5 linked regions of the Coturnix japonica genome follow. The protein of the gene in region 4 purifies or fractionates together with the protein of the main gene of each other region. This does not show direct contact. Links are inferred from orthologs where the notes say so. Each region holds a gene or a part of one and is shown on either strand. Other genes may lie near its edges. The genes, in order: VDAC2, ARL8B, VDAC1, RAB7A and PLEKHM1.

The links.
Region 1: the proteins of RAB7A (region 4) and VDAC2 purify together in Homo sapiens (affinity purification with mass spectrometry; 3 studies listed by BioGRID and IntAct, with this or other methods). This does not show direct contact. The link is inferred for Coturnix japonica from reciprocal best matches to the Homo sapiens genes RAB7A and VDAC2.
Region 2: the proteins of RAB7A (region 4) and ARL8B purify together in Homo sapiens (affinity purification with mass spectrometry; 4 studies listed by BioGRID and IntAct, with this or other methods). This does not show direct contact. The link is inferred for Coturnix japonica from reciprocal best matches to the Homo sapiens genes RAB7A and ARL8B.
Region 3: the proteins of RAB7A (region 4) and VDAC1 purify together in Homo sapiens (affinity purification with mass spectrometry; 3 studies listed by BioGRID and IntAct, with this or other methods). This does not show direct contact. The link is inferred for Coturnix japonica from reciprocal best matches to the Homo sapiens genes RAB7A and VDAC1.
Region 5: the proteins of RAB7A (region 4) and PLEKHM1 purify together in Homo sapiens (affinity purification with western blotting; 5 studies listed by BioGRID and IntAct, with this or other methods). This does not show direct contact. The link is inferred for Coturnix japonica from reciprocal best matches to the Homo sapiens genes RAB7A and PLEKHM1.

The regions. Positions count from the first base shown.
Region 1 is NC_029521.1:12,479,516-12,483,678, forward strand, and holds the start of VDAC2 (voltage-dependent anion-selective channel protein 2), read right to left. Parts: upstream 2,884-4,163; 5' UTR 2,785-2,883; intron 2,630-2,784; exon of another isoform or gene 2,497-2,629; intron 2,110-2,496; 5' UTR 2,089-2,109; coding exon 2,055-2,088; intron 1-2,054. UniProt on the Homo sapiens protein: Non-selective voltage-gated ion channel that mediates the transport of anions and cations through the mitochondrion outer membrane and plasma membrane.
Region 2 is NC_029527.1:15,954,903-15,959,351, reverse strand, and holds the start of ARL8B (ADP-ribosylation factor-like protein 8B), read right to left. Parts: upstream 2,804-4,449; 5' UTR 2,673-2,803; coding exon 2,550-2,672; intron 1-2,549. UniProt on the Homo sapiens protein: Small GTPase which cycles between active GTP-bound and inactive GDP-bound states.
Region 3 is NC_029528.1:2,129,686-2,134,064, forward strand, and holds the end of VDAC1 (voltage-dependent anion-selective channel protein 1), read right to left. Parts: intron 3,017-4,379; coding exon 2,866-3,016; intron 2,379-2,865; coding exon 2,321-2,378; intron 1,578-2,320; coding exon 1,486-1,577; 3' UTR 604-1,485; downstream 1-603. Other genes in the region: C13H5orf15 (keratinocyte-associated transmembrane protein 2), read right to left, coding at 192-306. UniProt on the Homo sapiens protein: Non-selective voltage-gated ion channel that mediates the transport of anions and cations through the mitochondrion outer membrane and plasma membrane.
Region 4 is NC_029527.1:6,808,777-6,812,959, reverse strand, and holds the start of RAB7A (ras-related protein Rab-7a), read left to right. Parts: upstream 1-1,360; 5' UTR 1,361-1,492; intron 1,493-4,183.
Region 5 is NC_029542.1:1,116,838-1,120,554, forward strand, and holds part of PLEKHM1 (pleckstrin homology domain-containing family M member 1), read right to left. Parts: intron 2,809-3,717; coding exon 2,663-2,808; intron 2,587-2,662; coding exon 2,393-2,586; intron 1,515-2,392; coding exon 1,451-1,514; intron 469-1,450; coding exon 311-468; intron 1-310. UniProt on the Homo sapiens protein: Acts as a multivalent adapter protein that regulates Rab7-dependent and HOPS complex-dependent fusion events in the endolysosomal system and couples autophagic and the endocytic trafficking pathways.

The sequences.
Region 1 (4,163 bases), on a different chromosome or scaffold from region 4:
TTAACCAGATTTCAATTATCATCCTCTGACTATAGAATTATTCACCTCCTGCAGATCTCTACAAGTTCAGTACATTAGTCACATGGGATCAAAGCAGGCTCTTCCCTCCCAGCACTCCCCCATTTTTTTTTAATTAAAAGTCTGTATTTTCTGGCCTTACCAACAAAACAAGAAAACTTGCTTGAAAACACCTGTCCCAGAATTATTTCCAAGGGCACCATTCCACTAAAGCAGACTGCTTAACTACAGCATCCACAAATAATATACACTGATTATAACTGCTATGTGCAGCTTAACTGTATGAACTAATACTATTTTAAAAACATTTATTGTACAAAAAAGGTCTTGTGCCTTAACATTGGTTTCCTATAATCTACTACAGTTTTTCCAGGTGCCTCTCTCCATCTTCCTAAAGCCCAAAAGGAAAAATTCAACTGCATCATCGCAAAATCATCCAGGCTTAGCTTAGTTTGAAAGAAAAACCAAGAACCTCTTCAGCAAGAAACGCTAAACTCTACACAGAAGTCAGTAAAGGAATCAACCCAGCACCTGCTGGGGAGTATAAAACAAATCCGTTCTTGCGAGGAGTAAACTCTTAAAAAAATAAATAATAATATAAGCCTAAGGAAAAGATGATTCAATAGCAGAAACAGATGTGAGTCCCAGTGATGAGACAAAATGGTTTCTATGATTTATTCAATAAAAAGTAACAGAAGCAGGACAAAACTTGAAGAAAGTGTGGGAGCACTGGTCTTCTCTCACTCCAAATCCCTGGTGTCCAGTTCATTAGTAGCTTAAAAGGGCTTTGAGAAGTTTCAGCTATGTACTCTTCCTCTGAGTAGGTCCAACTACCGTCTCCAGAAGAATAATTATTACTAGTTCAGAAGTATCAAAATGCATGTCTGTGCTTAAGGCTACTACATATAAAAATATATGACTGTATGTATAAACTTCTTTCATCTTTAATGTTCCCAAGCTGACTAGATATTCATCATAGACAAGAGATTTATGCTAAGGCCCTAAAGTTTAAAAAATAATATTTTTAATTGCCTGTAACTAAATGTGTGGAATTACTGCAATAAAAGGATACTGCTGTTTTTATCAGGCCAAGTTAAGCATCCTCCCTACTGCAGGAAACTGACTAATCCTTGTCAGCCATTCCAGCCTACAGGCCCAGGTTTCCTGATAAGGAGTTAAAACAGCTTATGACCTTCACGTTGCTGTTTCAATTCATACGCTGACAGGGACACAAGAGGAAAAAGCAGATGTTATTTGGGGGTACATAAAACACCCCGTAAGCCGGGGTCACCACCAGAAAGCTCTTTAAAGGCCAAAATATATCAATTCTGTTTCTTCCAGTGTTGAAAAATTCACTAGATTTGCAAATCCTTATGATGAGAAGCAATTTTATTCGAGCATGTTTTGAAGCGTCTTTCATCTTCTTACTAATTAGAAGCACCTAAAATAAAGCTACAATTTAATTACAAGCCTGTTGTGACAGTAGATATCAAATATCCTAATTTCAGGAACATAGAAAATACTTATTTCAGGTAAGCATCCCACTTTTTCTTTTTATCCCCCTTTCTATATAGACCTAAAAGAAATAATCTGCTACTTAAATATACTTTCTTCCAAAGCAAAAAGAAAATGAAATGCCAAGATGTGTGAAGGCTGTCACAAGTATTACATCACAGCTTTCTTTCGAGGCAATACTTGGAAAGAGCCCCACACTTAGTAATTAAGGTATGCCAGTGGCTTCAATAACCATTTCCAGACCTCAGGACATTGAGGATCAGCCTAGAGGGCACAGAATTAGGAACAAAATACTTAAGTATTATGTATTAAAATATATAATATTTTTATTATATAAACTTTTATATATACTTTTAAACGGCAACAACTAAAGTGAAATTGTATCCTATCATTGAAAATAGCAATAAACCGATACTGAAAATACCGTTAAAAACATGTCCGATCTAACGCTGACCTCCTTTACGCTTACGGAGCTACTAAACGAGAACTACTACCCTCGCTGTAACTACCTCCCTACTTACACCTCGACGCCTGGCACGCGGACGACGTAGCCATAGCTAGGCCAATGCACAGACTCTACGGAGAAGGGAGAGAGAGTCAAACAGCGCTCGGTTCGCTCCGTGCTCACAAAACCGAAGCAGCGCGGATCCCCTCTCGCTACGGGCCGGGCCGCGCGGCGCCCGCTGCCGCCGCAAGGTGAACGCTCCGCGCGGCCATCTTGGGCCTCGCGCCTGACCCCCGGCGCTACGGCCGCCCCTTATGTAACCGCAGCCCGGGCACGGCCGAGGCCATCGCGGGCGGCGGAGCGTCCCGACCCCGTCCCGATCCCCCCACACCCCGTCCCTCCCGACCGCCCCCAGCGGGACAACGAGGAACGCGGCCCCGGCCCCGCTCACCGCCCTTCGCTCGCGCCCCACCCGCCTCCCCCGGCACCGCGGGACGAGCCCAGCCCCGGGCCGGCACCTGGCGAGCGCGAGAGAGCGGCGGGGCCGGGCGGAGCGGGACCGGGGGCGCGGGCGGGTCTGGCCGTGAGGAGGCCGCGCTGCTGCAGCCGCTGGCACTGGAGGGCGAAGTGAAGGAGACACCGATCCGCCCGCCCGCCGCCGCCCCGCAGGACCCCGGTCAGAAGGGGCCGTCCCGCGAGGTGCCCGTCCCCACGGAGCGCCCCGCGCGCCCGTCCGCCCGACCCGAGAGACCCCCAGCGCGGGCACACACGGGAACACAAGGCTCCAGCCGTGAGAAACGCCGTACCCTCAGCGCGGAGCCGGGATGGAGCGACGTGGGCCGGCAGGCGCTAATTCCGGCAGCCCCAGAGGCGGAGACGGGTCCTCGTGAGAGGGCGGGGCCTGCGCGGGAGGGCGGCAACGGCCGCGCCTGGAACCCGCGACGCGTCCGCCGCTCAGCAGAGCGGGTGCGGCCCTGCAGCGCGCGGGGCGGAGCGAGGCCTCGGGCGGCTCCTCAGTCCAGCGGCCCGCACGAGGGAAGACCCGTACACCGGGTGCAGGCCCTGCGAGCCGCCCGCCTAACTCAAGTAGAAACTTCCGCCCCGTAACGGTCACCAGCCACAGCACAAGTGGGCACAGGCCCAGCCTCCTTAAAAGTACTCAGTCAGAACCCGTCAGAAAAGTGAAAGCGAGTCAAATCATATTCGAATCACATGAAATACACGTTAACAAGCACTACTGGTTTCCTCCAACACATGGTACGGCAGCCGTTTTCTTTTTTTTTTCAGCCGTTACTAAAGCAGGCTGACCGGCAGTAAATTCCAACTGCCCATCAGCATCTAGTTCTGTTTTAGGTTGGATGTTAGGGGGAAGAACATGAATGTGGCATGAATTGTTCATAATACAAGTTCATTCTGAATAGAATTTCAGTTTCTTACATCAGAATGGTGGGGTGGCTTTTTTTTATATATATTAGTCATGGTCCGGCTTTATCATTTTAAAGCAATCCAGTGAAGTACTTACTGCCCCACCCTGAAGGAAGAAGTTCTGAATCACTTGCCTTGTGAAACAGTTTTGTCTGAGACCGCAGTACACAAAATCCCAGTGAATGCTGCTGTCTATCCATACATTATAATCATGATTACTTGAAGAAGACATGTATGTAACCAATAAAAAGACAGCTGTAGTGCTCACCAGTTTCCATCAGAGGTTTATATTCACTTCTAGGTCAAACCTGCAGTCATTATCTGTCCTTCTAAATTTGAGCCTTCAAAGATTAAAAATACAGTGGAAAAGAAACCTTAAGGTAAGCCTAACTGCATAAACAAGGGCTTATCCTGAAAAGGAACTGACCGATAGCATTCACCACAGATGGTAAAATTATAATCAGCAGAAAATAGGTGGGAAATAGTTAAAGTTAGCAGGAACCGAGTTCAGAAGCAGCAAAGCAGTGTTTGTTTTTCTACCAAAGGAGAAAACAGACCCATGCAGAAACCAATGCATTTAAATAAGTTGACATAGATGGATATCCAGGTAACCTCAGGGAAATGCCAGTGAATAAGCAGAAAGCCTGTGACTTCAGAGACTAGAGGGTAAGCCAAAGGCAAATTTAGGAAAGCCAATAAGGAAGCAAATGTTTGCAGGCCCTAGCAAGGCTGACAGAGACACAGAACCCCTTGCAGTTAC
Region 2 (4,449 bases), about 9.1 Mb from region 4:
AGTGGAACTCAGCTGTCTGTCCCATCTCCCCATGGCAGCGTGGCCGTGGCCTGCAGCTCTGCTGGGTCTGATCAAAGCCTGCTGACAGACACTGGCTGCAGAGATGCAAACAGAAGATACTGCAGACTCCAGAAAACAATGGCTATCCCAGGCCCTTAGATAAGTAGCTCACAATTCGAGAGGTGATAATACTGAGATGACATGCAGTTTCACTGAAAGGAGCCACAGGCCATCCACATTATGGAAATTAAAACCAGGAGGAAATGACATCCTCCCTTGTGAGCAAGTTTATTCATGCACATGGAAAACTTATGCTAAATATCTAATTAGAGACAGTGACTAATGGGGAGCCTTAGCAAAGCAGAAGCTGCATCCAGCTACAACTATATTTCACTGCTATGTTTTTTAAACCTACCAGTCAAACTAAGTTTGGTGTGATTATAAACTGAGAGCTTCTTCACACTGAAGGAACAAACACAGGCAAATCCTGCTCCCAGCCTAGAAAGAACATTCTAGAACCAGACTCTTTGCCCTCCATGGCATTTCCTCTTCAGAGGCAGCCGGGAGTTGTATCAACCCTCCTAGGTAATGGACTTCAGATTTCCTTTAGTTCCATGTGCCTGATCTGATTGGGTACCCACGTAAGACAGAAGATTACATTAGAGATTTACATTAGATTAAATTCATGTTGTCAAGAGACTGGTAACGCTCTTTTGTTAGGCAGAGTGCAACACCCTGAGCCACATCCTGCCATGCAATCCAGCTTTTAAAGCTGCTCTATCAGGCTAGCACCGTGCTGTGTCATTCATTTCAGTTTTATGGAATCCCAGCACACAACAGCTACTTCCATCCAAGCCATTAACCGGTCTACAGGGAGCAGGTATTCTTCTCCAGCACTGATCTACTAACACACACTCTGAATTAAGGTCCAGGCAGCACAAGACACAAGGTTAGCTCTTCATGCTGTAGACTAAAGTACTGTTCCTGTAAGAAGCAATATCATGCTGACAACAGTCCATGCTATTAGTTTTTTAAAGGTATGAGCAAGTCCCCTCACTCTGTTTTGCTGAGAGTCACCAGATTTCCTAATTAAAAGCTTCAGAGATGTGACTTGCTACTCCCAAACGTAAAACAGTTAACGATGCTGTGCCTTACACATAATGACTTCCTTATTTCACTCGGTTTTGCAAGCCAATTTGAATGACACTCACTCAGATAAATTTCTGGGTGTGATCCTAATAAGCAGTTAAAACCTTGCAAGCTTCAACCTCCAGCAAAGCAAGCTGGGCACAGTTGTCAACTTTGCTTTAAGTAATTTTGCCACCTGGGACAATCTAGACAGCTGAAGACACAGTGCAATTAACTCTGCAGCAGCCCACAGCACAAACAACACCATCTTGAGCTCCAAAACACAAGAAAGTAGTAGCTTGATGTGTGCCATCACCATCCTAGGCAGCAAAAGAGTGAAAACCTGCAAAGTAATTCCAGTGCTCGAGTTCAGCTGAAAACCACACATCAGTATCAGGTTGACAACCACAGACTGAATGGTTCAATGGCTGAGTTCCATCTGCATAAATCCAGGACCAAAAGCAGGGAGAGCCAGTAGCATGTGAAAGAAAAGGCTTCTGGAGTTCTCACATGAGTCCAGCAGCTTTCACTTCATACAAGCAGGCTGAAGAAGAGGCACTTTTTACCATCTTATGTAATTATCACAGCAGCCACGAAGCACTGCACATGAGCTCCATTGTGTTTTGACGTGGTAAGTGTAACAAAATGAGAATGGCAGTGTCTCTTTTACTACTGAGTTACTCATTCAAATACGTATATAAAAACACTCAACAGTGTACACAGCCTCAATGTACACAGCCTCATAGAAGAAGTTGAAGTGCGCTTGAATCTGAAGTAGAGCACATCAGCCCTCTGTTCTAGGTGCATTCAATTCAAGCCAGTCATGCTCCCTGCAAAGCAAAGGGTACCTTCACCTCCGTGTCAAGCTCCCTCCACCAGCTGACACATTGCAGCTTGCCCCTGGTCAATGCTCTGCCGAACAGGACGCTGAAGGGGCCACAAATCTATCTAAACAAGGGAGTCTTTTTCACACTCAGCAACAGCAGAGCTCTGCGTAGGAGGGAAGGCTCTCACACCCCTCCTGCATCTGATAAGCAGGCCCAGGTTCAGCAGGCTGCTGCTGCAAGGCCTGGAAGTTGTACTGCTTAACACAGCTCAATAACGTGCATGAATTGACGCAGGATTAAAAAAAGAAAAAATAGGGACAACAACGGGGTGGGAAACATCTACAGCGTTTACTGATGAGCGCCGAAAAGACCAAGCAGGGAGCGCAGCTGATGACACCCGGAGGCCGAGGCCTGCACAGCCCGCAGCGCAGCCGCCCCGGGGACGGGCACCTCACCGGGCCCAGCCCCGTGCAGGCCGCCCCCAGGCCGCAGTGCCCCCCCGTGACACAGGGACAACGCGGCGGCCCGGCTCCCAACCCCCGGCCCGGCTCCCAGCCCCCGGCCCGGCTCCCAGCCCCCGGCCCGCCCGCTCACCGCGATGACGTTGACGAACGTGGTCTTGCCGGAGTACTGTAGCCTCACTAGGGTCAGCATCATCTCCTCCTTCCAGAATAGCACCTGGAATGAGTCCAGCAGCCGGGACAGCAGCGCCAACATGGCTGCGGCGGGGCGGAACGGCCGGGCACTGGCGGGAGAACCGGGTTCGGCTCCGGCGGCTCCTCGGCACCGCGCGCTCCCTCACGGCCCGGCTCGCCCCCGCGCCTCGGTCATATGACGCCGCGGCCGGGTTCGCGCGGCGCACCAGGACAGGCCGCGCCCCACAGCGCCCCCTATCGGCAGCCGTGAGAACAGCGCCCCGGGAGGACCGGCGGCGGGAGGGCGGCGCGGGGCGGGGCCATCACTAACAGAGGGGGCGGGGTTGTGCCCGCACCGCCCGCGTGTCAAAGAGGAGATGCGGCATTCAAGGAACAGAACTGGTGTATCCCAGGAGATCGAAACTCATCGCCATTGTCAACACAGACCCCATCTGAAGAGACGCTGAGCCCCCTGAGCTGCCCCTTCCTGGAGCAGGTTGAGGTTTGCTGCAGCAGTGCATCCCTCACCGAAGGATCTGGCAGTGTTCCGTTTATTGCTGTATTCAGTTAATTGCTGAAGCACGGGAGAAAATGCCCCCCCAGGTCCCCTTCTTCCTGTGGCTGTGCAGGAGGTGAAGCAGTCGCACTCAGGTTGCAGAGCCGGCTAAGAGCTGATCAAAGCAGCCAGATGCTGCTGGCTGTCATCAATTCAGAGATAAAGGTTTCCTGAAGCACACAGTGGAAGCAGATGTGCAGCATCTTATGCAGCGGTCGTGTTGTCAGTTATAGGATAGATGCACATTTCACTCCTGGGAGCAAATCTAATTTGCTAATTCACTGCTGAAACAGAATAGCACAGGAGTGATCCAGAACTTCCACAGCTGAAAACAACACAATGCCCCCTTCCCTGTATTGCAGAGAAACCTCCTTCCCCACAGGCTGCACATCCTACGTGGAGGAAATCTCTCATTCATGGTGTGTTTGCAGACAACAGACTGTGATTGGTATCAGCTGCTTGCAGAGCAGCAGGCGGGGATGCTGTGTCTGTTCAGCAGGCCTGGGGAAGCTGCAGAGCGTTGCAGGCGTTTGCAGGTTCTCATATGTCTGCGTTTGAACACTCTGAGTGCTCCTCCCAGTAAAGTCTGTGCCGTATCATTTGTGGTGCAACAAAATTTGCGTGTCTAAATGCAAAGGGATGATACCATTCATTGCACTGAATTAACAGCACGCTTTTTGCCTTTACCACAAGCGATGGGATTTCTCCCAAATCCCTTGCTCTGAGCTCAGCACTGAGTGCTAAGCTGGGCACACATCACTTTATTGACTGTTCCATGCAGGGTTTCTCAGGTCTTTAGACTTTGACTCTGCTTTGCAATTCTGCTGTCAGCTGTCTGCAGAGGCACCCTGGGAGTCTTTGTGCTCGTTATTGCGGCGGCACAGAGCACTTGGAGCAATGCAATTACTGCTGCCATGGATTGCAGGATGTTGCTGGCAGCTGAGGAGGACCGGGCTGCAGATGGCCATATTAGAAGAAAGAGCACATAAAGACAGGGCTCGGATCATCACTTTCTGTGTCTAGACATTTCCTGGAAACTCTCTGCAGGCTACAAACCATGAGAGGAGAGTGTCTGGATACAGCCAACGACACAAACCACAATTCCGAGTGTATTTAGGATAAATGCATCATTTATCTAAGCTGCAAATTACCTAAATTACCAATGACATATTGCTGTGTCATCAGAGGAAATAGAAATTCATTGTTGTGCCTCCATCCAGGGATACCCCATTTCACCTGGTCTCCTTAGGGCCCCAGGTCACTGTTTCTCCTTGGCATCCTGCAGCCCAATGCTGTATCCCAC
Region 3 (4,379 bases), on a different chromosome or scaffold from region 4:
CAGAAGCGGACAGAGCACAGAGCAGAACGTATCACGACACAACGGAGAACACTGAGGAAAGCAAGAAGGGAAGGAGCGCGGGGCGGGCAGTTCGGACGGGACCGGACCGGCTTTTAGGCCGAAACACGATGATAAATAACCAAACCCACAAATGTGCGCCCTCAGTGCCCGCCCCCCCCCGCCGAGCTCACCGCGGGTCTGCACGCCGCGCTCCGCCATGGCCCAGCCGCACAGCAGGAGGACGCACAGCGCGCGACCCGCCGAGCAGCGCACACCGCCGGCGGCCGCCATCTTGCCGGGCGCCATCTTGCCGGGCACTCCCACAGACGTGGCGGCAGCACCGCCCCGGCGCTGGGAGGGCGATGCGCATGCGCAGAAATGAAGGCCTGCTCTCTGGTGTAACCACCGCGCATGCGCTGTGCGGCAAAATGGCGGCGCGCGGGAAGGCGGGAAAGCGGAGAGCCCTGACAGGAATAGGAGTGGCCTTCCCTCAGCTGCGGGATGGCTGCTTGACTTTAATGCCAAAAAGCAAAAGCTTGGAGCCCTGCAGGTCCAAAGAAACACAGCGATGGGCACAGATCATACACAAAGCCAAAGTAAAAAGTGATGTTTCAATGTTTTATTCAAGTTTGGGTTTGGTTGTTTCGTCTCCGGTTTGAGTAGTGTCAGGTACAGCACTTCGGGGTCTATTTCCACACAAAATGGAAGACTCTAAAAATGTACCCATTTAATTGCTAAAAAAAAATAAACAAACAAAATCAAGTGGTAATAAAACAAAAGTCCATTTTCAATTTAGTGACACAATTATGTGATTGCAGGTACAAACACTTCCCTGATTACAGCCCTGTCTTACAAGCCTTCCATTCAGTGCAAGGGAAAGGAACCACAGCACAGGACAAGGAGCATTGGCTGAGTCACATCAAATCCTTCTCGGCAACAGAGTCACACAAACAGACGACCTAAAGCGTTCTGGAGACAGCTGGAGGTGTAAAGGAACCAAACGAGACGAACCATTTGTGAAACACCCATCAGAACATAAAAATTATCCCTTTTTCCAGGCAAGTTTGCACATTCCACAGTGAAATGAGGCCTTCAGAGCATTTTGCATAAGGAATTAACAGTACAACAGTGGTCTGCAACTCTTGACATAACAGTTCTTGTATCACGCTAACATATCCCTTGTGCAGTCAATATGTTAGTATAGGTAATAATACCTTCCCTGTTTGCTATCATGCGGCAGCTGACGGATAAGATGGGCAATAACAACCCAAAACAGGAAAAAAAATAAAAGCCTGGAATCTGGATTTCTTAGAATGCTTTTTGTCTCCATTTCTGAAACATTTTAAAGCTTAGCTGTCTTTAACCAGGACTAGCAGGACTGATACTTAGCATTACTTGCATCCCAGACATACAACATTGAAAGGTACACTATATTCTGAAGGTAGCTATGCTGTATTCTCAAATTAACGATTGTAGAATCTCTCTTTATGCTTCAAATTCCAATCCTAGACCAAGTTTGTGACCACCTGCATTGACATTCTTGCCATCCAACAAAGCTGACAACGTCAGCTTGATACCTGCAGAGAGAAGCAAGAGAGAAGACAGTGATTAACACTTGGAATGAGCCTTATGTTCAGTAACTGCAGTGTCTGCATTGCTGCTGTAATGGACTGAGTGGCTGCATTCATGTCATTTGGCAGCTAGCCATGTAAACGTCTGGACTTTATCAGGCTGTCAGCAAGTATTAAATCTTTCTGAATTCTCAAAGTCAGGATAAAACAAACCAGGTAGATTTTACTTTTTGTCATACATGTCAGTTGAGTTCATTGCCTTTGGCCTACAGATGAATCTAATTTTAGACTCAGGTATGATGAAAATCTGGGACCTTGACTCTTATTCACCCTCTTTAAAACACTGGGATGAAAAGCCCTGAGCCACACCTGATGCAGTAATCAACCTGCATGGTATTGTGGCAGCAGATCTTTTAGACTACATTAAAACCAACTGGGCAGCTGTAAGACTGCCCTCTTCCTGAACCAGCAGGCCTTGGGAACATCACATTTTCATGCAAAGAAACTCAGTGACATGACTTGGTGTTAAGAGAAGAGAACCTAATGGACAGTGGTTGGTGGTCTAGCAATTCTGATCCCAACAGACATCCCAAACTAACAGAGCAGTCTGTGGTGAAGTTCACCACTGGGTTGCCACACAGAACAGCAGTGTTACGAAACCAACCACGTACTGTTGCAAAAAGCCTCTCTGATATTTCAAGACTGAAATACTATTTGTGTATTTCTGGATTTCTTCTGCACAGACTTACCTGGCTTTAAAATCTGAGTGTATCCCAGCCCGATCAGACTGGAGTTGTTCACTTTAGCCTGGATGGAGAAAAACAACACACGTAAATCATCTGTTATCTTCCTTCAGAACCCTACTCACTTGGAAATCATGTATTGCCTTTTAAATGCATAAATAACAGATCACACACACAAAAATAATCTACAGTTCACTGAAACTTAACTGCAGAATCAATATACCTATAGTCCACATCCACAGTCACTGAAACTGTGCTATAGTTGACCATGTTTGTAATTTTTGTCCAAAATATGGACTGGAAATTTCTCCAAGCAGTGCCCAATAAATACAATAAACCATTCTGTATCAGTTTTGAGGGAAATCCAATAACTGTGCTCCCGTGTGGCCAAAAGGGAGACCAGCAGAAGCATGTGCCAATGGAATAGGCAACAGAATTGGCACATAGCAGCGAACTGCCTCCAAAGGACTTTACTCATTGATGTAAAGTTGCTTCACGTTCCTATTACAAGAAACTGGTTATTCAAATGCTTATAAATGTATGGCACTCACAGAAAAAGACGCATCTGGGTCAATCTGATACTTGGCTGCTATTCCAAAGCGAGTGTTGCTGTTACCAGCTGTCCAAGCAAGATTCACAGCAGTTTCCAGTTTATCATTCACCTTCTGGTAAATGGAGCCTCCAAATTCTGTTCCATCATTCCTGGAAGGCACACAGCAGTGCAGGTTTGAACTGTATCCCAAAGCAATTGCCTTTTGCTTTTCTTTTTCTTCAGTTCGATCTCTATTTGCACAACATGCAACCACCCCACCCACCATACGTGGTGTAGGGAGCCTGCTTTGGCAGGGGGGTTGGACTCAATGATCTCTAGAGGTCCCTTCCAACCACTACAATTCTGTGATTCTGTGATTTTAAAAGGCCACTTTTACCTCTTAGGCACAGCGCTGGTTCACAACAGTTGCACAGTGACAGCCTATTTCAAAGCTGAAGCCATAGCAGCAGCTTTTTAAACTGTCAGAGCAATTCTTCCTGAAAAAGGCTACAATACTTTCTTCAGATAAGACTGAAGCTCACACATAACTTCATGTGCTTGGCTCTCAAGAAAAGGAGGAATTAAAAAGGACTGAGGAGAGCTGGTTACACAGGCAGATTTTGTGCAAGGTTCCCATACAGCTCTGTCTTGACCTGCAACATTAGTGAGGGGCGGTCTGAGCTAAGCTCCAAAAGAAAGGAAAACCATATTTAGAACTAGAGATTATCCAGCCCTGCCTCCCTTTAGTGATCATGTATTATTACATTAGGTTAAAGTTATTTTAAATAAGTAAATAAATCGAAGCTCCCTTTAATTCTAGTCATAATAATGACACTTTTCATACATAGATCAAAAACATGACCCCTCTATGGAAATGCAGATATTAAGGCACCATTAAGGAAAGCAACTTGCTCAGGCCCCTGGCTGCCCTGTGAAGCAGGCAGAACAGAAGGTGATGCTTCCAGCCCCACCTAGTTCATTCATCAGGCATGCCACAGCACCCTTTGATACACCAAACTGCCTAGATATAATGACCCTGCACGCCAGTCATGCAAATTCCAAATACAACAGTTTCCTGGATTTTATGTGCTTCAAAGTTGAAACATGCCATAAGCCCCCAGCTAAGCCATTAATAGCGATAATTAACATTGCTGTTCATATCACGCATTTACATTTTTGCCCATCAGTTGTTAGAGTACGAATACTAAACAAGCAAACAAGGCGCCCTCTTGAAGATCATCCATCATCCACTCATAGTAACAATGACCACATAACAGACCCTCAGGGACCCAAGGAACAGCAGCAGGGGCTCAGAGCCCGCTGTAATGCTCTGATGTTATTTCCTGCTGTCGCTTTAATCAGGAGTAATAGTAACGACTGCATTTTATAGCAAAAGCCAATCGTACAATGTTTGGAACTACTACAGCATGACAAAGTTGAAAGCCATTATGCCTGAAGGAATAGCTCGTAACTGCTGAGCAGAGGGGGACCCCTTGTATCGGTCCGATGGAAGTTTCCTGCCCACATTTCTGT
Region 4 (4,183 bases):
GGCAGGGATTAGAGAAGAGGGCAGGCAAAAGACTACAGCTGTGCTTTTGCCAGTGGAAATGCTTATGTGGTCATGTAAGAGCAGAAGATTTCTAGTGGACAGAATGCCAGAAGCAGCAGGGTGAATCTGGTTTAGCTTGGAGTACAAAAACAAGATATTGTGTGTTTGCTGCAGCTTAGTTCCTTTTTTTTTTCAATTTTATTTTAGCAAGTTCTGACATTACGATGAGTTTTTTTGAGGAAACTGGCCTGGAAAGCAAAAGAGGGCAAGAGAAAAACATTGCAAAGCTCTTGAGAGGACAGCTTCACACAGGGATGACAGGATGGTCAGCTGGAGCTTTATCTTTCCAGACCTAAGAGGCAACAAAGGGTCCCAGTGCTGTGAGCAGCAATGAGGAAGAGGGAACACAGGACTCTGGTGAGCTGAAATAGTCTGGGCAAGTACTAGAAGAATGAGCAGGTTCCCTCTAAGCTTTTAACATCGCAGATGGTTCAAGGTGGGATGGCTGTATGTCCATGGGAAGTGGGTGAGTGCATTAGAAACTACAAGGAACATCAGCTAAGTCAATGTACAGGTTGGCTCCTGGACCTCTCTGCAATCAGCACACGGTGAATCTTTTTGTGTCCATGCTGTTTCTGCTCACTGTGCCACTGTATGGACTGGCAAGAGGAAGGGAGGATCCCTTCCAGTCCAAGGACCAAAGAGATGATGTTTTATTATCCCTCATTGGATGGCACAGACAAGCAAATAGAGATTAGATGTCACAAAGGGAACAAATCAAAGCTGAAGACGTTCTTACTTCCTGGTTCAGCACATGAAATATGCTGAGGTTCCTGCAGTGGTAAATGTCTGTTTGCTATAATATCTAGCTGCCATCTGTGCCCAATGACAAGCACCCAGACCATAAGGCTCTCTCTGCAGGCAGTGATGCTTCTGAGAGCCAGGATTCCTGTGTTCTTCAATGTCCCACAATGGACCAGAGGTGGCTGCTGCAAGACACAGCTGTGGGACACGCCAAGAAAGCCATTAACTCAATGCAAGGTTATCCTCTGTGTAACTAAATAACGTCAGAGATGGGCGGCAGGATCGCTCTGTGATAGAGAGGGAAGGAGGAAATGTTACCCACGGCCCTTGATTGCTTTTTGTATTGTGTAATAAGGAAGAAAAGTGAAATGTACAATCAAATCATTCCAACTGGAACGACCCCGCTCCCCCCTCCCCACCAGCACAAGATGGCGGCGGGCAGCGAGCGATCACGTGACACTCTCCCCCTCCTTTCCTTCCCTCCCCCTTCTTCCCTTCCCTCCCCCTCCCGTTGGCTGCCGGCGCCGTGATGACGTCATGACACCGGGCGGACCCCGTGACCGGAAGTTGTTGAGGGGGGGGAGGCGGAAGTGAAAGCGGGGAGGTGGTTGGGCCCGATAAAGCCGAGCGAGACGAGCGGGGGAGGCACAGCCAGGATCGGGCGGGCGCTGCGGCCACACGCACCACGGTCAGTACGGGGCTGTGTGGGTGTCTGCCATAGGGTTCGGGGCGGGGGGTGCCGGCTCCGGCCCAGCTGCTGTTACTACAGGGCGGGGGGTGGCCTCTCAGGCCCCTCCCTCCGGCTGGAGGGGCCGCTGGGGCCGGCTGGGTATGGGGGGCGCCGCCTTTGTGCTGGGCCCGGTGCCGCCGTGGCAGCTGCTCGCTCTCAGTGTAATACTGGGCTGTTGTGTCGAGCTGGGGCCGGGATCGGCGCTTCCCCCGGAACAATGGAGCTGAGGGATCCTTAGCAAACGGCTCCTCCGCCCAGAGCCTCGGGCACGGCGCTACCGAGGCCTTCCTTGGGCTGTGAGCTTCTAAAGGCGGGTGTGTGGGTGTCCTCGCTGTCAGAGCCATGCGGTGGTCCATGGAGAAGCAGAGCGCATTGTGTGTGTGGCATGTGGCGTGCTGCGCTATGGGCTCGGAGCTGGGGCTGCCCCCAGTGCTGAGGGTTGGGTGGTCAGATGGTGACTGTGCTTCAGGTGGGATGGAGAGGGCATTGGGTGCTGCTTTAGAGACAAGCGGGCTGCTTAGGGAGCATTTAATGCTGCCAAATGTGAGGCTGGGAGGGCTGGCAGTTATTGCGAAAGGAGCTCTCAGCGTGTGCAAAGCCTGAGTCAGTTCGAAGGAGTGTGGGAATGGATGTTGGAAGTGCTTTTTGTTCGGAGTATAATAAGGTAAATGAAATGATGGATGCATTATTAATGGCTCAGGTATATTGAGGCTAATGAATATAGGAATACTTAATCGTTGTGTTAAAGTGAAATGTGTTTTCTTCCTTGTAAATAGTGGATTTCTTATAGTAGTAAGGCAGCTTAAAAAAATAAGTGCCATAATCTGGAGGAAGAGAGTTAACTGCATCAGAATGAATACATCTTAACCAGTAGCTCTGAGTTCTTTGAGTAAAAGATTGAATTCTCAACACTGTTTTCCTGCAGGCTAAAAATACTTGCTGATAAGCAGAGCTGTTGGGATATGTGTTGGGTTTTTTTATGAGTAAACTGAGAACACATGATAGAACAAAGTCCTCCCAGCTGTAAGCAAGCTGTTCTTTGTTTGATAATTGTGAATTGGAAATGTTAAAGCTTCCAGCACCTGGCTGGCCAGCTCTGAGCTGTGCCTTTTGGTGTGGGCTTGTGCTGGGAAAGTGGGGAGTTACCTGCCAGCTGTGTGTAGTGCTTGGCTGTGATTTCAGGGCTCCCTTGTGGTTGTTCTGTGTGTGATCAGTGGTGGTACTAGTGATGCATGATAGAGGCTGCAGCCTTGCTGTGCTTTCAGATGGGCTGGGCTGCTGAAGTGAATGTACTCTGCACTTAGGAGATAGATTCGAGGTTGTGTTGGGTGGAGCCATTTGAATATTCCTTGTTTAATAATCAGAGCTTCATTGCTGTACTTCTTCAGGAAGAACAAGTATACTTGTCTCTTCCCCCCCCCCCTCCTTGTGACTCTCAACAGCTGACTGAACACATGACTTGCTCTCCATGAACTAATGAACAGGCTCACCATGCCTGAGTCCTTAGAACCCAAAGTAGCTCTAATACTGCCACTTCAAAATGCTGCCCTTTCTTTTGTGCTGTTATGCTAATATTCCTGGTGTAGGAAAACTGTCAGATCTGACCTCTCAATAGGGAAGGCTCTGAAAAATCCACTAGCAGTTTCTTGCTTTCTTAATGTGCAGCATGAGGTATAACTGCTAAGGTCTGAAATTCATTTAATTCAACTTCCTTTTTGTCCGTGGTGTCATGCAGTGGCCAGTGTCCTCAAATACTCTATTAATAGTTCAGCATGGCACACTGAGACTTACACCTTAAAATGGAAAGATGCCAAGGTAAAAGCTTAAATAACTGTTGCAGTGACTGTGTTACAGTCATCCTTTCCTTTCTGCCAAATTCAGTGTATCAGCCGCTACCCAGAGCAGCACAGATGTGTTGTGATGCAGGTGAGTCCTGAATTGTAAATGGAAAGCATACAGACTCTGCTGTTGGATCTCTGCTGTGTGATAATATCTTCCTTTGTTTTCTACCCCAAAACCAACGTCTGTGGGCCAAAAGGTTTAGCAGATTGAATTTCTGAAATGCCTTTTTAAAGCTACTGCTGTTGACTTGGAAGGTCATTTGAATTACCTGTCAGAGCGAATCTCTGGCGAAGCTTGTCCTTGAGGAAACATGACAATTAAGATCAAACCATCTGTGCAAAACTATATATAGATTTGTTTCTAACATGTATGAGTTTTTAGTCTGACTTCTCTGCAAGAACGAGACTAGCTCATGTGGAACTGAACATTTGACTGTAAACTAAACCGCTTGTGCTGGGTGAGGATGTTCTTTCAAATGTTTCATCCAGAGATGGTGCTTGGTACCTGGCCTTAGAATGAAGGCTGTGGAATAAGGCACTGGGATATTTGCATTTTTGGAATGAGCTTATGATTGCCTGGGCTCACAGATGCTTGCAGTCCCTCCTGTTGTAGCATACCAGTTTCTTTAGTAACAGAATTGAACTGTGTTAAGTGAGAGTTTGGTGCTTACCAGTGTTCTCTGCCTCCTGGGCTTCCCCGTGGCTGTGACCTGACCCACTCTGAAGCTCTTATTGCTAGGCCTGCTGGTACTGAGATCCTCTTGGTAGAAGGGGATGTAGATGAAAATGAACTTGGGTGCTGAACTGA
Region 5 (3,717 bases), on a different chromosome or scaffold from region 4:
CCCACCCCAGGCTGCCCCCAAAGCCCCAGCGACCCATGGAGCCCCCATGGATATAGAGCCCACCTGGATTTGAAGCCCACCTGGGAATGGAGACCCTATGGATATAGAGCGCACCTGGACATGGAGCCCACCTGGGAGTGGAGCCCATCTGGATTTGAAGCCCACCTGGAAATCATGGAGCCCACATAGAAATGGAGCCCCCATGGAAATAATGGAGCCCACCTGGATATAGAGCCCACCTGGGAATGGAGACCCTATGGATATAGAGCCCATCTGGGAATAATGGAGCCCACCTGGATTTGGAGCCCACCTGGAAGTGGAGTCCATCTGGAAGGGGAAGATGGCGGCGCCGCGGGCGCAGATCTGGCAGATGAAGCCCCTCTGTGTGCACAGGTCGCAGCTGTAGACGTGGTGAGACGCAAACTGGATCGCGGAGAGCAGGAAGGGCTCGAAGGTGCCGTCGGAAATCTGTGGGGCACGGCTGGGTTATTATGGGCCTCAATGGGGGCAAATGGTCCTGCAGTGCTTGGAGCATGAGGTCCCCCTCCAAGGCATCCCATCACACCCCAATCCCATCCCAACCCACCCCAACCAATCCCATCCCATCACACCCCAACCCGCTCCAACCTAACCCACCCCAACCCAATCCCACCCAAATCCCACTCAAGCCCACCCATCTCAGTCCCATCTCAGTCCCATCCCAATCCCTCCCACCACGGCACCATCCCAACTGATCCCATCCACACACCATTCAACCCACCCCAATCCATTCCATCCCAACGCCATCCTACCTCAACGCCATCCCAAAAGATCCCATCCCAACCCCATTCCACCCCAACACCATCCCACGCCATCCCCACTCAACCCACTCCATTCAACCCATCCCACTTCAACCCAACCTCATTCAACTCCATCCATCCCATCCCCAGCCCATCCCAGCCCACCCCAACACAACCCCATCCAACAACCCATCCCATTCCCACCTATTCCAGTCCCACTCAACCCACCCCATCCCACTCCAATCCAATCCCTCAACTCCACCCATTCCATCCCAACCCCATCCCAGTTCAACACAGACCCATTCCAACCTACCCCAATCCCATCCCTACCAATCCCATCCCATCCCATCCCAACCCCATCCCATCCCATCCCAACAAACCCCATCCCAACCAATCCCGACCCAACCAATCCCATCCCAACCAACCCCATCCCATTCCAATCCAACCAATTCAATCCCAACCTAACCAATCCCATCCCAACCCCACCAATCCCATCCCATTTCAACCCATCCCATCCCACCCCCATGATTTCAGCCCCAAAGCCACAGTGATAACAGGAAACAAAGAGAAGAGGAACGCAGTGGTGTGAAACCCACATCTGCAGAAGGGCCCCATTCCATCAGCCCCCCATTCCATCAGCCCCCCACGGACACACGTCTTGGGGCGCTCACCTGCTGCAGGTCGGCCACGCTGAACTTGTGGGGGCACTCCAGGAGGTAATTCCTGTCATCGAGGCTGTAAATAAGCACAGAGAGGAGCTGGGTGGGGGCTTCCCACATCCCGGAGGGGTGAGGAAGAGCCCGCGGGGTGATGAAGGCTCCTGGGGAGCGTCAAGCTGACGCCGCGCCAAGTCAAGGCATCGCAGATCCTGCCATTGAAAATTGTTTGGGAGCATTTCAAAAGGGGGAAAAAGAAACGCTCTCATCTGTTTGCCCAGGTGTTTCCTGTTCAGCCCCAGCCAGGAAAGAGCTTCCTCCGGCCCATCCCCCTGCGCCGCCCCACGGACACACGGGGAGCTTCCTCCAGCAGATTCCATGGGGGGGAGAACAGCCCATATCCCATAGGAACGGCTGGTAGAGCCTGGGGGGGTCAGGGGCAGCGTGGTTTGGTGGGGGCAGGATGGGGGGCACAGCTTCCATCTGACAGCGCAGATGTGGGGAGGAAGGTCTGTGATCTATGAGGTCCCTTCTGACCCAACCATGCCCCAATTCTATCGCTCTCCCATCTTTTAGGTCCCTTCCAACCCAATTTCACCAAGATTCCATAATTCTGCAATCTTTAAGGTCCCTTCCAACCCAACCATTCTCTGATTCCATCGCTCTCCCATCTTTAGGTCCCTTCCAACCCAACTGCACCATGATAATTCTGCAGTCTTTAAGGACCCTTCCAATCCAACCGTGCCCTGGTTCCATCGCTCTCCCATCTTTCAGGTCCCTTCCAACCCAACTTCACCATGATTCCATAATTCTACAATCTTTAAGGTCCCTTCTGATCCAACCACGCCATGACCCCACAGTTCTCCAACCTCTGAGGTCCCCTTTAACCCCACAATGGCAGCAATGGTGACAGATGAAGCGAGGCAGCCCCCAGCACCAGGCCCTCGTGTTGCTCACCGCTTGCTCAGCTCCTTCAGTGCCCCACTGCGACACACACTCAAATAATCCCCCAACAGCTTCAGCTGCTCCCGGCTCTGGCGGATGCGCCTCATCCTCTCCACGTGGTCATAAAGGCTCTCGTTGACCAACTTGAGATCAATCAGCGGCTGCTTACGGATCTGGGTGAGGAACTTCAGCGCCTGACGGCAAACCTACGGCACACAGAGGGTGAGGGGTCACACAGAGGGACCCCCAGGTCCCCCCCAGGCATGGATCCATCCTGCTCACCCCTCTCTTGCTCAGGTCCCAGTTGTGGATGAGGCGGGAGGGGATGACCAGCTCGTCGTCCCGGTGGCAGCTGTCGCAGTAGTAGAGCCCGGAGTAGGAGCAGAGTTTGGGTTTGGCAAAGGAGAAGCCGATCTGCCTGGAGCAGCCTTTGGGGAGCAGAGAATAGAAGGTAAGAGGGGACCCCTGGAGCTGGGGGGAGATGTGGGGTGAGACATGGGGCAGGAAAACCTGGGAGGGGGGTGGATGAGCGGTAAAGCATGTGCCAGGGGGCTTGGGGTTCAGTTAGACCATGACAGACCAACGTCACACACGAGGCATCGTGACCGTTCCTGAACCCATCTCACTTTTAATCCATTATTTAGATGATCTTTAAGGCCCCTTCCAACCCAATCTTACTCAACACAACTCAACCCAACTCAGCCATTCCATGGCTCTATGATCCTTAAGGTCCCTTCCGACCCAACCCAACCCAACCCAACCCAACCCAACCACTCCATGGCTCTACAATCCTTAAGGACCCTTCCAACCCAACCCAACCCAACCCAACCCAACCCAACCCACTCCATGGCTCTTTGACCTTCAAGGACCCTTCCAACCCAACCCAACCCAATCCAACCTCAATTCCATGGCTCTATGATCTTTGAGGTCCCTTCCAACCCATCCATGCTGTGATTCCATGGCTCTGTGATCTTTGAGGTCCCTACCAAACTGTGCCTCTATGGATTTAAAGTGTTTATTCCCCCCTGCCCTTCATTTAGGACATCACAGCAGCACAATGTACTCCCCCCTGCCCACCCCATCACCGGGGATGGGAGAAGCAAACACTGAGATGTGCAGCCCCAGGAGAACCTGGCTGAGCTCCTGGGGACGAGCTGCAGCGCTCTGACAGCTGCTCCATCCCAACGGAGTCATGGGGACAGGAAAACTCCGGGTTCTATTTTTAATGGCTTCACTTCTCTAAAACCACCAATGCAGCGTCGGTGGGTCGGTGTCTGCTCCAGGGAGAGCCAGGGCCACCCCATCACCCTCCAGAAAGCTGCAGCATCCACTTAATT